Macaca fascicularis: one gene and its partners. The protein of the gene in region 4 purifies or fractionates together with the protein of the main gene of each other region. This does not show direct contact. Links are inferred from orthologs where the notes say so. Each region holds a gene or a part of one and is shown on either strand. Other genes may lie near its edges. The genes, in order: PPP2CA, INTS6, PPP2R1A and INTS11.

Region 1 (2,991 bases), on a different chromosome or scaffold from region 4:
TTAACTCTAAGAACATATGACTCAACAATGTACAAAGATTTAAGAATTTGCCAATCTGTCAATCATTTTAAAGAGTCCATATAATATACATAGCAATATAATATTCATAACCAGAAACTGCACTAAGTAAACACATCATTTAGTTTGTTAAGCTCTACCTGAAAACATGCTGTTTTATTAAAACAAAACCCAAAGACTTAAATCTCAAGTTATATGGTTTTACAATTAAGTCTTACTGAAGCAGCACAGATTTCCTTTCTTACAAACAAATTAATATGCAGGAAGAACCCACAAAGTGCACACCAACAATGTGACAAACTGTAATATGTGAAATACAAATAAATCCTGAAGTTAATCTGAAGAATGTCAAGGAGTTACCAGAGGTTATGTAGTGCCCTTGATTTTTATTTTATCTACAAGTCTACAAATTCTAAAATTTACTCAATTGATTTAACTTTTTTAATAAACAGCACCAGTCTTGCCCATTGATACAATTAAAATTTGACCTTCTCAGTTCTTAGTTCACAAGTTTATTATGAAAAACACTGCAGTGCTCTTGTGCAGTCACATCATCTTACAGGAAGGGAGAAAAAAACAGTTCTGTTCAAAACAACTCACCAGGTTCTGACAATAACAAAGAACAACATGGGGCTGAGATTTGAGTAGGGAATAAACTGAGTGCAGACAAATCATATAATTAAATTAAACGGTATCCCTGAAAATAAAAAGAACGATTTCAAAACTCACAAGTAGAAGGGAGGCCTTGGTACTTATTTTTAAAAATGTTCATTAAGCTCCAATGATTGTTTGCTGCTATCCTTATCTACAGTCATGCTGAGTAAAGCTATAGCTAAATGGAAGTTAAATTGTATTCACGAGGTGTTAATGTTTACATCTTATTATCTGCAGTCTCTCAGAGAAAGCAAAAGTAACTACAAATAGCGCTATGCCAGAAACTGGTTTCTTGACCAACAATGTCGCTTCAGCATGCAATGAACTGGTTCATTCTAAAGTGGTCACGGCTGTTGATGACAAGAGGCTTTGTATTTTTATATGGCACATCTTTTGGTCCATGTGAAAACAAGTTTTTTGAATGTTAACTATTTTCTGACACTTTGGAGTTACTGTTGCTCTTCCCATTTCCATTAGGTCGATATATGGTTCATGGCAATACTGTACAAGTTTAAAATTTCATTACAGGAAGTAGTCTGGGGTGCGACGAGTAACATGGGGCTCGCCTCTACGAGGTGCTGGGTCAAACTGCAAGCTGAAAAACAAGACAGATTCATGGTTTATGTTCCAAGACCTCCATGTACTGACAATCAAAATCAAGAACATGAGTCTTTCAAACTTTACACTTCCTATCCAATTTCAGCTTGTCTTAATGTAACAGAACCCTAATGATAATGGTCTGTTAACCGTACTCCCCTTGAAAGAGTCAAGGCAAATTCAGCCACAGAGACTATGCTTTTATAAAAATATGGTTTTTACCTTGACTGAAATTTCAAACAAAACAAAACATGGTTGGCGGGGCGTGGTGGCTCACGCCTATAATCCCAGCACTTTGGGAAGACGAGGCGGGAGGATAATGAGGTCAGGAGATCGAGACCATCCTGGCTAACACGGTGAAACCCCATCTCTACTAAAAAAATACAAAAAAATTAGCCGGGCACAGTGGCGGGCACCTGTAGTCCCAGCCACTCGGGAAGCTGAGGCAGGAGAATGGCGTGAACTCGGGAGGCGGAGCTTGCAGTGAGCTGAGATCGCGCCATTGCACTCCAGCCTGGAGGACAGAGCAAGACTCCGTCTCGGGGGGGGGGGGGGGGGGGGGGGGGGGGGGGAAGAAAAAGAAAAAACAAACAACAAAAAAACACAAAACATGGTTTTAAAAGTGAAAAACCTAGTAATTTATACTAGGATCTATATATAATAAGTTCCTGTGGGTGTGTTTCAATGTAGGTCCATTCAAAAACTTAAAAATAAAAGTTGGAATCTAACATAGTATAATCCCTTAATAAACTCTTTTTTGAGATGAAGTCTCGCTCTGTTGCCCAGGCTGGAGTACAGTTGCGGTATCTTGGCTCACTGCAACCTCTGCCTCCCAGGTTCAAGAGATTCTCCTGCCTCAGCCTCCCAAGTAGCTAGGATTACAGGCATGTGCCACCACGTTGGGCTAATTTTTGTATTTTTAGTAGAGACGGGGTTTCACCATGTTGGTCAGGCTTATCTTGAATTCCTGACCTCAGGTGATCCACCCACCTGAGCCTCCCAAAGTGCTAGGATTACAGGCGTGAGCCACCGTGCCTGGCCCCCTTAAACTCTTAAACCTCACATTTAACTATGTATTCAGGCTGGGCACTGTATCTTTTTTTTTTTTGAGACAGACTCTCACTCTGTCGCCCAGGCTGGAGTGCAGTTGTGCGATTTCGGCTCACTGCAAGTTCACACCATTCTCCCGCCTCAGCCTCCTGAGTAGCTGGGACTACAGGCACCCGCCACCACGCCTGGCTAATTTTTTGTATTTTTAGCAGAGACGGGGTTTCACCATGTTAGCCAGGATGGTCTCAATCTCCTGACCTCGTGATCTGCCCACCTCGGCCTCCCAAAGTGCTGGGATTCCAGGCCTGAGCCACCGTGCCTGGCCGGCACTGTATCTTATACTTGTAACGCCAACACTCTGGGAGGCCAAGGTGAAAGGATCACTTCAGCCTAGGAGTTTGAGGTAAGACTGGGCAATATAGTGACACCCTCTCTCTCAAAATAAATAAACAAACCAAAAACCTACATATTCAGTAATGCAATAAAATGTTCAAGTAGAAATACTTACAAAGAGTATTTTAGAGTATCGTCAAGTTCCATGATTGCAGCTTGGTTACCACAACGATAACAATAGTTTGGAGCACTGAAAATTGTTACTACATTTCGGTCATGGCACCAGTTATATCCCTACAAGGAAAAGGAGGCAAAAATCTTACTTTACTCCCTCAATTC
Region 2 (4,028 bases), on a different chromosome or scaffold from region 4:
AAATAATATTCCTTTGTTACATGTAACATTATATGTTGTTCAGTATCTCTTATTTCCAGGGCAAAGATATCATAAAATGTTACAATAGACCACCTTGCATTCTTCCTTAGTGAATTGTTGATTTAAAGCTCCTCTCACCCTCAAATAGATGAAAGTAAGTGAAATAAAAGGACCTGTGGGGGTTAAGAAACGAAGGGTTCTTTCATATTTTCCAGCAGTCTTTTTTGCAAAGGGTTTGGAGTTTAAATTAAAACTCTAGGCCTGAAATTTAATTCAGAATTCTTCCTGCAATAGTTAACTGTGTATGCTTCAAAAGGAGAAAACTTAATGTTCTCAGCCAGTGACTGTATTCCAGTGAAAATCTTCTTACCTTTCAGAATAGTTATACAGCATGATCACATTAAACCCTGATGCAACAAACAGATTAATTTCCTCTAACATCTTTACTAATATAGAAATGAAGACCACTAACTAGTGTCTGTAAGTCACTACAATAGTTGCACACACAACTTGAGTGTGGTGAGATAGGACGCTTTCCCTTTTAGGTCTTTAGTGAACTTTCAAGGGATTAAAATCAATGTATGTCAAATTTTTAGCAAAAGATTCAGATTCTAATCCTGAATACAAATGTATTTTAAAAGGGGAAAAAATGAGGGACATAAAATATATATAGTAGGGTAAGAGTTTTGCCTTTGAACAATGTGCATATTCTATTTTAATCTGGAATGTTTTATACGTGCATTTCATGTTATGTAGTTTTTGGATTGGACTGTTTTTCCACAAAATGAAAAATCAACTATTTTGCCACCTTATTATTCAACCTACCTGCCCATAGTTGTCTATGCCAGTTACTAATCTATTTAAATTTAATAAATCAAAAGCTGTCCTTAGGGATTGGCCAAGAGTCGTAAGTCCTTCAGCCTGAAGGTTTTTCAGTTCATTCATAAACGTTGCATGGTTTTCTTTCCATCCAGCCTGAAAAGAAAAATGTAAGATTTTTTTTTTTTTCATTTTTTAAAGCCATGTACACACAGCCGTTATAATCTGACAGTCACCAAGTAGCAGCTTCACTTTTGGTTGGTTTGGCTTGGTTAACGTGTTAATACTGTACCACTGCTGAGGAAACTCTCCTCCAAAGGTGGTCCAGGAATAAACCTGCTTCCTCTCTAGGTTTTGGTAGTTAACAACCTTAATACTTTATAACTTCACTGACAAATTTACTACCTAATCTAATACCCAAAATGTGGATATGTGAACGTACTAGTGGAAGCAGACGGGAGCCAGACTTAGGAAGTTAACCTGCAGCTGTCCCACCGGCCCTCTTAGGACGAATTTGACAAGACCAATCCTGGCAGCCCCGTATTTGGCTCCCGTGCCGGCCGGACCGATTCCCCTTTAATGCAAACCGGGGCTGTGCGCGGCCGGGCCCGGCTGTCACTCCGGCTAACTTGAATAAATATCCCCCACAGTTCATTGCTGCCGCTCACGCCGCGGAGGGGAAATGTCGGCCATGTTGATCGCAGCGCCGCCGCCGCCGCCGCAGCCGCCGGGCCGAGCCGGGCCGGGAGGGGACGGCGGTGGCCCCGCGACTCCGCGCCGCGCTAGGACGCTGCCGAGCGGGGGAGGGGGTGGGAGCCCGCAGGGAAGAGACCTCAGCGGCTGGGAGCGCAGCGGGTGGGGGAGGGGAGCATAATGAAGGGTGAATGGGGGGGCGGGGAGGGCGAGCGAGGAAGGAACAGGGAAGGGAAGAGAGGAAAGGGGGAGGGCGAGGGCTGTTACCTTGATAGCATAGGGCGGCTCTTCGAAAGTGACCAGCATATACCTGTCTCCTCTGCTGGCAGGGTCCCGGGCACGGAGCTGCGGGACGGGAAGAGGAACAGGGCGGGCGAGAGGGAAGCACAGAGGCGAGGTTACGAGGCGGAGAAGGGGCGCCCAGCTGCCCCGCCGCCCCCACAGTACCGCACACGCAGCGGCCACCCCTCCACGCCGCCCCCAACATACAGATCGCTCCCCACACACCGCCCGGGGCCGGAATCCGGGCCCCGGCCGAGCCCGGCTCGCAGCGCCCGCCCGCCCGCCCGCCCGCGCGGTGGGGGAGGGGGTCCCCGAGCCCGGCAGCTCCCGCAGTCAGGTCCCCGACACCCCCGCCCTGGCTGCCCTCCCCCACCCTGCCTCCCGCGGGCCGCCGGGCCGGGGTCGCCGCCCGGACTCGGTCAGTCGGTACCTTCATGAAGGTCTCTACCGCGCCTTTGGCCGTGTCCAGGTAGGTGGTGCCCAGATGGCTGCGCTGGTTCATAGAGGCAGACGTGTCTATCAGGAACAGTAAGATGGGCATAGTGCTGGCCAGGGACACCGGGGCCCGAGGTGGTGGAGAAAGAGGAGATGGTAGAGGTGGAGGCGCCGGTGGCGGCGACCGCCGCTACGCGGGGCGGGGGTGCGCGGCCCCCGGGAGGAAAACACCGTCTGGGTCTTTCCTCCGGCTGCGGGGAGTTTCTCCCCCGATAGTTGAGAGGAAACTCCCCAGACCCAGTCCTCCCCGTCGTACCCCCGCCTCCGCCTCCTCCTGCCTGCCTGCCCGCTGGGGCGGGCGCCCAGCCGTCTGTCTGTCGGTCCGTCCCCCCCGCCTCGGGGGTCCCGTCCCCGCTCCCGGCCCCTGTGTGTGTCCCAGCGGGAGACGGGCCTGGCTCCCCACCCCACCCCCGGTACAGGGAGTGGGGACCTGGGAGCTGGCTAAGAGGGGAGTGGGCTGAGGGGAGATTGGCCCTGGGGCTGTTGGGAGAAGTTTCAGGGACTCCCTCCGCACCCCAGCAGTGTCACCACTTTCTCAGCCCCTCTCGCTACTGAAGCGCTTTTCTCTCTCACACTCCGATTTTAACTCGGGCAGGGGCTGCGGAGGCTCCGCCCCTGACACGTCCCCGAGCCACGTGATACATCGCCTCGCCGTTCTATTGGCTAGTCCCTGCCCTCTCATTAGCATATTTAAACAGCTCAGGGGCGGGGGAAGCTTGCAGGCCGGCTCCGGGGACAGTTATTGAGCACGCGCGGAGGCGGGGCGTCGGGTGCGCGCGAGCGGGCGGGCGGGCCGACCCGGAGGCGGGCTTCGGGAAGGGGCGGGGCCGAACCGCGGAAGATCCGCGAGGTGGGGGCGGGGGACGCGTCCGCGCGCGCGCCGGCCGCGGCGGTGAGCCTGCGCGTCAGGGCCGCCGGCCTCTGGCTGTTGGAGGTGATTGGGGTCGACAGAAGGAAAAAAGGGGCTAGCGTCAGCGCCCCCTCTGAGGTGGCTGTATTGTGGACGAGTAAGAAGGGCTGAGTAAAGTGGACAAACACCTGGTTAGGAGAAGAGGACAGGTCCGCAGCCGCCCTTCCGAGGAGGACTCGGGGCCTCGCGGGCGCTGGAGGAGGTTCCTGGGCCTCGTAGGGCCGCCCCGGCGCGGGCGGGCGCGGGCGGGCGCGGGGGAGGGGAAGTGAGAGGTTGTTTATGACCGGGGACTAATCTCCGCGAGTCACAGCGCTCCCTCTGGGGAGTGCGGTTGAGGGGCTGTCCTCGCCCAGAACCTCGCTCGTCCTCCGGTGAGCGACGAGAGGTGGAAGTTGGACGCGCAGCGGGCCATGAACTCTGTCGTTGGAGGACCCGCCAAAAAGGAAGCAAACCTTCTTTTTCTTTATCCAGCCCCAAATAGGGCCTAGGGGACCATTCACATATCGATAAATGGTCTGTTGCCCGTTTTATTCTCTGGGAAATACAACTGATCCTACCAGAGAAATACCTGTCTCATGCCGTGTTTACCTAGAGCCATAGAATACCTGTTTCAGAGCTAAAGGGGACCTGAGCCCATCATAATCCATTACCTCGTGTGAAAGCGGAAACACTGACTTCAGCTTGTCCAGATGGCGCAGAGCATGGGTTTCCCGTAACCCCGCCTGTGTCTTTCCTTCAGTCTCGTCCCAAATGCCGTGGGAGGGAAGGCATTCTCTGTCAAGCTGCTGTCACCTTACCTGAAGTAAGGAGTCCACGCCTGTATGTCCGA
Region 3 (4,030 bases), on a different chromosome or scaffold from region 4:
AAAAACAAACTGGCTGGGCACAGTGGCTCACACCTGTAATTCCAGCACTGTGGGAGGCTGAGGCAGGAGGATCACCTGAGATCAGGAGTCTGAGACCAGCCTGGCCAACACGGGGAAACCCAGTCTCTTCTAAAAACACACACCCAAAAATTAGCCAGGGGTGGTGGCCTGCGCCTGTAGTCCCAGCTACTCAGGAGACTGAGGTGGGAGAATTGCTTGAACCCGGGAGACAGAGGTTGCAGTGAGCCGAGATCACGTCAGTGCACTCCAGCCTGGGCAACAGAGTGAGACTCCATCTCAAAAAACAAAACAAAACAACAACAACAAAAAACTATGGCCATATCTGTTCCCTCTTCCTGGGCAGCTCTTTCCCACCTTCTTTCCATCTCTTCTTAAATTCTGCATCCTCAGAGGGGCCTTGCCTGATTGGCCTACTTAAAATGGATCTGCCCCACCCCACTTTGTACTTGCTGTGCCCTCTGCCTTTAGGTGTGTTCTCAAACTTGATCTCAACAAGGCCTCCCCTCACCACACTTTAAAACTGCATCCCCCAGGCCGGGCACAGTGGGATTACATGCCTGTAATCCCAGCACTTTGGGAGGTCAAGGTGGGTGGATTACCTGAGGTCGGGAATTTGAGACCAGCCTGACCAACACGGAGAAACCCCATCTCTACTAAAAATACAAAATTAGTTGGGAGTGGTGGCACATGCCTGTAATCCCAGCTACTTGGGAGGCCGAGGCAGGAGAATCGTTTGAACCCGGGAGGCAGAGGTTGCAGTGAGACAAGATCACGCCACTGCACTCCAGTCTGGGCAACAGGAGTGAAACTCCGTCTCAAAAACAAACAAAAAAAACCCCTGCATCCCCCATCTCTCTTATTTTTATTTATCTCCCTACTGCTTATCTCCAGTATACTCTGTTTATTATCTCTCCTCACTGCAAAGTAAACTCCCCTACTGCATGCCAGTGCTTATAACAGTGACCTGCACAGAATAGAAGGCCAATTCAATATGGATTCACTGCCACAACATCCTGTTTGTTTCCTTCCCATCACTTTTCACACACTCTGTTGACCTGTTTCACACCTGAATCCTGTATAGCAACTGGTGTCTCCACTATATCCCCAGCATCATACCTGATACATGGCACGTGTTTACTGAACAAAAGAATTCATACAACCGCCCTACGAACTAGGTAATTATCCCCATAAAAGAGAAGAGGAAATAGGCTTAGAGAGATTAACTAACTTGCGCATGTCAATCAGTGAGAAGTGGAAGGGCCAGGAATACAACCACAGCCGGTCTGCCCCCAGAAACAGTGATATACCAGGAACCTAGGAGGCGGGACCCACGTTTGGCAGGTTACCCAGTGCACCTTGTTCAATTTTATAAATGCGAAAACTGAGACCTAAAGGGAGGATGGGACCTCTTTAATCACCACTCCCAATAATCACAGTTAATATGTATCAGGCCCTTACAACAGGTCTGACACCATTCGACTTTTTATTTGTGCCATAATTCGTTCAGTCCCTCACAAGTCCCTCCAGCAAGACCAGGACTACAATTAGCCCATATTTTATGGAACACGGAGGCCCAAAGCGGTGAAGTAATTTGCACAAGGTCACACAGCGGGTGGCAGCCCTGCTCAGAGCCTTGGGCCACCGCATCCCATAACCAGGAATGTTCATCCGGGCTGGGCGCCGTGGCTCACGCCTGTAATTCCAACACTTTGGGAGGCCGAGGCGGGTGGATCGCTTGAGGTCAGGAGTTCCAGACCAAGCCTGGCCAACGTGGCGAAACCCGTCTCTACTAAAAACACAAAAATTAGATGGGCGTGGTGGCTCGCGCCGGTAATCTGAGCTACTTAGGGGGCTGAGGTGCGAGGATCGTTTGAACCCGGGACGCAGAGGTTGCACTGAGCCAAGATCGCGCCACTGCACCCCAGCCTGGGCGACACAGGGGCTGTCTCAAAGAAAGAAAGAATGAAATGTTCATCCACTTAGCAAATCCTTCACCCCCTATCCTGATCAATGGGAGGATCTGGGGAGATGGGGAAGCGGGTTTCTACAACGTAATTCGTTCTTCAATTTGGCTAGTCCCCACCTTTGGTGGGGGGGGGGGGGTGTTTTTGCGTCCCCGTCCTCTCAGGACACCTAAACCAAAATGAGACGTGGAGAAAGAGCAGGAATTGGGATGGCAGGCCTTCGCCTCTCGGTCCCCACTTGGGCCAGCAGTCGAAACCCAGAAAAGAAAAAAACCTTCCCAGGTCCTGACCCATCAGGCGGCTCTCCCCCACTCGGAGCAAGTCACGAGCGCCCCACATCTCCAAGGGGCCATTCAGAGGCCGCCGCCAATCACGGAGCCCTCCTCTCTCCCGGACCCAGTCCGCCGACCCCAGCCCTGGCCGCAACCTCCCAGGACCGCGGATCGCGGACCGCGGACCGCCGCGCGCACTGAGCAGGCCCGGGACCCTCGAGGCTAGCGCAGGCCCCCGCCCTTCACTGGGCCAACACCCAATCGAGGGCGCCGTCTCAATGAGTCCGGGCACCCGGGGAGATAAGAGACGCACGTTGATTGGCCGCCGCCCCTTCCGCCACTCCCAGCGAACGCTGAGTCTTCTCCGCGAGGGCTGCCCATGCCCCCAGGTACCCCTCCCCGTCTTCCCCAAGTCCCCCGTAGCCTCCGTACCTGAACGTCCTCGTTGCGGAGTTCGTCTATGAGCACCGCGATGGGGTACAGCGAGTCGTCGCCGTCGGCCGCCGCCATCTTGGCTCTGTCCCGTTCCTGTCAGACTGCGGCCAGCGCTCTGCTGAAACGGGGGGGCAGAGCTGGGAGGAGGAGGAAAAGCACGCGTGGGGGCGCCCGAACCAGTTTACAGGGGCTGCTCCACGGCCATTGGCCGCGCTACGCCGGCCTAAACCCGCGTTTCTTTGGTCCGGACTAGTGAAGTCCCGCCCACTTCCCATTTGCCATTGGTCGAGTGAACGAGATTTGACTAGTTTGAGCCTAGGGGAGGGGGAAGAAAAGCGGAAGTCAGCCGTGTCCTAGCGACCAAGATTGAACCCGCCTTCGTCGCTGCTAACAACGACCGGGACGAGCAGTTGTTTCTAGCCAATGAGGGGCGATATGGGGAGGACGCTAAGCCTGACCTTTGGTGGGTCCCGGGGATGGTTTCTGCGCGTGCGTAAGTGGTAATACGTGACGTCATGTGGGGAGCGGGAGGGTGTGCAGGTTTTGGGTTACCAGGCCATGGTTCCGCTGGCTGGCAGGCTGGCTCCCCGCGCCTTTGCGCGGCCGGAGGAGGGAGTGAGACTTTTATTTGTGTTTGATTTATGCCAAGGCCCAGAGAAGGGAGCGGCTTGCCCTGCTGTCTCTCTTTTTCTTTTTCTTTCTTTTTTTTTTTTGCCTTTTTAAAGACAGGGTCTCGCTCTGTTCCCCATGCTGGAGTGCAGTGGCGCGATCTTGGCTCACTGCCGCCTGGACCTCCCCGGGCTCAAACGATCCTCAGGCCTCAGTCTGCAGAAATAGCTGGGATTATAGGCTCGCGCCGCTAGGCCCGGCCAGTTTTTTAAAGAATTTTTGTGGAGACGGAGTCACTGTGTTGAGCTCAGTTGCCTTGCTCTTTGGATGAAACCCAAGTTCCTCGGGCCGGTATTCAATACCTTGTCTAGGCGCGTCTCCCGCCTCCGTTTTTTACCTTTTGTCTGATGTCCTGGAAAATCAGAGCTGCCTGAGCACATCTTGCGTTTTCGTGCCAGCAAGGCTCCTTGCCCAAGCTGTACGTTCTGCCTTTCTTATTCACTTCTCAGATCTCTGCGTAAATGCTCTTGTTCTCTAGGCTTCCAGAGCCACCAGAACCTCTCTCTCTGTCTCTCCAATCCCATCTATGTGTCTCAATCCCAGAGCCTGGGCTGTGACTATGCATTCGAATCTGTTTCCTCCATAGAGTGGGAGCAGGATTGGATCTGACTAATCTCTGTTTTTAACCTCTTCAACAAAGCCCCACCCCCACCGCAATCTTAGGACCAC
Region 4 (4,196 bases):
CCTGTCTCCCCGGGTGCCCCAAGGGCCCGCACCTGCTCCAGGGAACCTGAGACTCAGCTGCATCCCACCTCAACCAGGAAGAACCCTTACCCCATTGGGCCTGGGGGTTCCTAGGCCCGTTGGTGCTGGGAGCCCTCTCCTGCCCTCCCTGGCTGCAGGGACTCCAGCAGGGACAGGGAGGGTACCCAGCTGTGGTGAGAGCTCCTGGCCAGGAGCAGGTGTGCAGGTTGCTCAGCGCCCTAGGACTGGGCCCTTCATCACTAGGGAACATGGGCTACAAGCACTGCCCAGCCCGTGGCCCAGGCTGCTGGAGTGCTGGTGCCCGGAGGGAGCTGAAGCCTTGCCTTGCAAGCCCCACAGGTTGGGCTGCGTGCTTGGCACCAGGCGGAGGCCCCAGATGTGAGCTCACCGGGCTTCAGGTGTAGGGAATGGCTGCTCCTGGGCCTCAGGAAGATGGAGTCCCATAGACTTCTAGCACGCCCCTCCCCTCCTCAGGCCTTAATTTTGTCCACTGAGAAGATGGTCTCTGAGGCTCTGGGGTTTCCTTCTTGGTCACCAGATATTCTGCGGGCCTTGCCTGCCTGCCGGCCCAGATCCGAGCCAGTGGCAAACAGGAGCTGCCAGGAGCCTCTCAGAGCTGTGGCTGGTGGCTCCGGGACAACAGGAAGGGCAGTGGTTGTGCAGGAGGCAGGCAGCTCGCCAGCCCAGGAAGGTGACCCAGGGCACCTCCAGGCCTTTCCCAGGGCAGCCCACCGGCCCAAGGTCAGGGCTGGGCGCCAGGGCGGCCTGAACACACAGCCCGGTGGCTGACAGCAGGCTGGGGGGACGGCAGAAGACGGGGCCACCACGGCGCCCCAGGCCTTGTGGGTGGAACCAGACCGTGTCGAGCTAGCGCTACGAGTCTCACCTGGGAAGGGGGCTTCAGATGGCACCGGACTGGATGGTCACCGGTTCGGGTCCCTGCTCCACCTGGGAGCCCAGGAAAGGGTGGAGGCCCGGGGTGGTGCTGAGGAGGGGCCGACCTGAGCCACGGCTCCGTCCTGCGCGGGAGCCGGGTCCTCGGCCGCCCGCCCACTCCGGCCTTCTAGGACGACGTCCCCTCCCGCTCCCGGTCCCTCGGCGACCTCCGTACCCTGCCGGTTGGGTTGGGCAGGTGCGGCCGCCGAGCCGGAGCCGCTCACCTCGGCCACAGCTGCCGTCCGGGCCCCGCCCTCGCTCATCGCCCCGCCCTGTCCCGCTCTCGCCCGCCGCCCTGATTGGTTGGATGCTGTCCAATCAGGAGGCCAGGCGCGCAGACTCGCGTTTCCGGCTAACGCACCGGAAGTTGACACCCTGGTGGTTGCGCCTGCGCAGTGCATCACCGCGCGCGGGACTCGCGGCTCTGGGAACGCGGCGGAGACGATGCCTGAGATCAGAGTCACGCCCTTGGGTGAGTGGGAGCCGCCGGCAGGGCTGTGGGGCGGGCTCCGTATGCGGCTCCGGGCGGGCTGGGCGCCCCGCTCCCTCCGGGTTGTCATGGAGCCGGGTGCGCGTCGCGGGCGTCCTCGGTCTCCTCCTTCCCGCGTGGGCCCTGGTGGGAACCGAGAGGCGGCCGAGTCCCTGCACCCTCGGCCTCCGGCAGTGACGCGAGAACGCGAGCCCCGAGGTTCAGGCGGCCGTGAGGGGACGTCGCAGAGGGGGCTGCGGGGCCTCCGCGCTCGCTGTGCGCTTTCGTTGGTGCGTTGACCTCCCTGTGCGGCGCGCTGCCGCCTCCAGCCCCTCAGTCCCGCAGCCCCCCAGCCCCCCAGCCCCCCAGTCCCCCAGTCCCCCAGTCCTCCAGCTTCTCAGCCTAGCAGACCCCCAGCCTCTCAGCCGCCCAGCCCCCCAGTCTCGCTGTCCCGCTTCTGCCTCCTCACCTCTTGCTTTCTGTCCACCACTCCTTGTGCTCACGCCCAAATTACAATCAACTCTCAGTTCAGCTCTTGTTCTACCTGATTTCTGCAACACTGAAAAAACCAGCAAAAAACACAAATGTATACTCTTAAGAGTCCTAACAGGCTGGGCACTGTGGTTCACGCCTGCAATCCCAGTACGTTGGAAGGCAGAGGTGGGAGGATCGCTTGAGCCCAGGAGTTTAAGACCAGCCTCGCCAACATGGCAAGACCCCATCACTCAAAAAAAAAATGCAAAATTAGCCGGGCATGGTGGTGTGTGCTTGTGGTTCCAGCTACTCAGGAGGCTGAGTTGTGGGGATTGCTTGAGCCCGGGAGGTCGAGGCTGCAGTGAGCCATGATTGTGCCACTGCACTCCAGCCTGGGCGACAGCAAGACCATATGTCAAAAAAAGTCAAAGTCCTAACAGTATAGAACAATGCGAAGGAGGAAAGAATTAGTCAAAACCCAGGGTCTCAGAAACACCTGGGGGGACATGGTGCTGGTGGCCAACCATCCTGATGTCCTGGGCGTTTTCCACACGTGCCTGCCCTGTGCTGTCCTGGAACCTGGTCCTTCCACTGGGCAGGGGGTCGAGGGCATCTTCCAGCACAGACACTGGGATGAGATTACATGTCCTTCCTCATGGCATGAGCGCTTCCTTGGAGGGGTGCCTGCTGCCCCGGCGGGGATACTGTGCTGTGAACACCCCTGGCCTGTGCACAGCCCACGGTGTTAGGGTGGGCCCTGCTGCCCTCCCCTGCTCTCTGGGGCCTCTGCTGGGTCCTCCCAGACTGCCCCTTTCCCATTTGGCCTCTTGGCTGCCTGTTCTACCCACTCTCTGGACAGTCTGATCTTTCATGTGGCTTCAGTGGCTCCCAGTCTGTACCTGGGTGTATTCTTTTTTTTTTTTTTTTTTGAGACGGAGTCTCGCTCTGTCGCCCAGGCTGGAGTGCAGTGGCCGGATCTCAGCTCACTGCAAGCTCTGCCTCCCGGGTTCCCGCCATTCTCCTGCCTCAGCCTCCTGAGTAGCTGGGACTACAGGCGCCCGCCACCTCGCCCGGCTAGTTTTTTGTATTTTTTAGTAGAGATGGGGTTTCACCGTGTTAGCCAGGATGGTCTCTATCTCCTGACCTCGTGATCCGCCCGTCTCGGCCTCCCAAAGTGCTGGGATTACAGGCTTGAGCCTGGGTGTATTCTTAAGGTCACCTCAGCCAGGGTATCGGCAGAGCAGAACTGTTTCCCCACCTCCCTGTGCCAGGGACTGCCTTGGGCTCCGTGCTCACTGGGCCAGTGCTGTGTCCTTGGGGTCACTCCCACGCCCTCGCCTGTGCGTGACTGTCCCCCGACCCTGCCTGTCCCTCCCAACCCTGTTCCTCCCCCTTCCCCCATCCTGCTCAAAAGTTGGCTTCTCAGGGAGCACTTTCCTGTCATGGTTCTGGAAGTTTCAAGGCTTCCTCATCCTCTTACCTTGCTCTTCTGTCACAGTAGCCTCCATCTGGTGTACTCGAGGTGTCTTGTTCACTTGTCTGCTGTCTGTCTCCTTGCAGACAGGGATGCCTCCTCCTCTGTCTTCTCAGCCCTGTCCCCTCCTGTAGCTCCAGGCTCTATTCCCTGGGATCACTGTGGGTCCTGTTGGGAGGCGGGACTGCCAGTACCTCAGGATTGGGCTTTGGAATTCAGAAGACCAAGCCAGGCCGCACGCTTCAGGGCCACAAGTGCCTCTGTGGCCTTAGGTCCTTGGCTGTGAAGAGGGGCGGCCCTCCCTTCCCACAGATGCCAGAGGGCCTCTGTGAGCCTGGCATGGCTTGGGGTAGGAGGTGCAGAGGGAGGAGACAGCTGAGACCCTGCTCTCAGAGAGCTCACACCCAGTGGGGGCAGGAACAGGCCTAGAAGAGAACCTGAGACCCCCATTCGTGGCAGGCAGGCCCTCGGCTGTGGCCCCGCTATCCTGATGTGTGGTGCTGGCTTTGGACGTTTCAGGTGGCTGGTCGGGGAAGGTGGGTGGGGATTCAAGGGGAAAACCAGGCCATTCACGGCCATCAGACTCCCGCCCAGGCACAGGCTGTGCAGGGGCCATGGCCCTTTCCTTGTGGGCCTCCAGGTCACATGAGGGGGCTGAGTGTGCCTTGGCTGGCCAAGGCCTCTGGCTGGAGCAGCTGGGCAGGGCTGCTTGGCTGTCAGGAGTGTGGGAGGGCTGCAGATTAGGGTCTGTGTTGGGGGCTGCGTGGTGGGCAGTGGTGTGGGGCTTGTGTTGCCCACGCCGGCCACTGCTGGACCACTGGC

The links.
Region 1: the proteins of INTS11 (region 4) and PPP2CA purify together in Homo sapiens (affinity purification with mass spectrometry; 4 studies listed by BioGRID and IntAct, with this or other methods). This does not show direct contact. The link is inferred for Macaca fascicularis from reciprocal best matches to the Homo sapiens genes INTS11 and PPP2CA.
Region 2: the proteins of INTS11 (region 4) and INTS6 purify together in Homo sapiens (affinity purification with mass spectrometry; 3 studies listed by BioGRID, with this or other methods). This does not show direct contact. The link is inferred for Macaca fascicularis from reciprocal best matches to the Homo sapiens genes INTS11 and INTS6.
Region 3: the proteins of INTS11 (region 4) and PPP2R1A purify together in Homo sapiens (affinity purification with mass spectrometry; 3 studies listed by BioGRID and IntAct, with this or other methods). This does not show direct contact. The link is inferred for Macaca fascicularis from reciprocal best matches to the Homo sapiens genes INTS11 and PPP2R1A.

Annotation. Positions count from the first base shown.
Region 1 is NC_088380.1:140,719,160-140,722,150, forward strand, and holds the end of PPP2CA (serine/threonine-protein phosphatase 2A catalytic subunit alpha isoform), read right to left. Parts: intron 2,947-2,991; coding exon 2,828-2,946; intron 1,268-2,827; coding exon 1,195-1,267; 3' UTR 518-1,194; downstream 1-517. UniProt on the Homo sapiens protein: Catalytic subunit of protein phosphatase 2A (PP2A), a serine/threonine phosphatase involved in the regulation of a wide variety of enzymes, signal transduction pathways, and cellular events.
Region 2 is NC_088391.1:30,616,904-30,620,931, forward strand, and holds the start of INTS6 (integrator complex subunit 6), read right to left. Parts: upstream 2,848-4,028; 5' UTR 2,336-2,847; coding exon 2,225-2,335; exon of another isoform or gene 1,858-2,224; coding exon 1,780-1,857; intron 976-1,779; coding exon 826-975; intron 1-825. UniProt on the Homo sapiens protein: Component of the integrator complex, a multiprotein complex that terminates RNA polymerase II (Pol II) transcription in the promoter-proximal region of genes.
Region 3 is NC_088393.1:59,957,005-59,961,034, reverse strand, and holds the start of PPP2R1A (serine/threonine-protein phosphatase 2A 65 kDa regulatory subunit A alpha isoform), read right to left. Parts: upstream 2,818-4,030; 5' UTR 2,768-2,817; coding exon 2,690-2,767; intron 1-2,689. UniProt on the Homo sapiens protein: The PR65 subunit of protein phosphatase 2A serves as a scaffolding molecule to coordinate the assembly of the catalytic subunit and a variable regulatory B subunit.
Region 4 is NC_088375.1:233,455,082-233,459,277, forward strand, and holds the start of INTS11 (integrator complex subunit 11), read left to right. Parts: upstream 1-1,349; 5' UTR 1,350-1,401; coding exon 1,402-1,429; intron 1,430-4,196.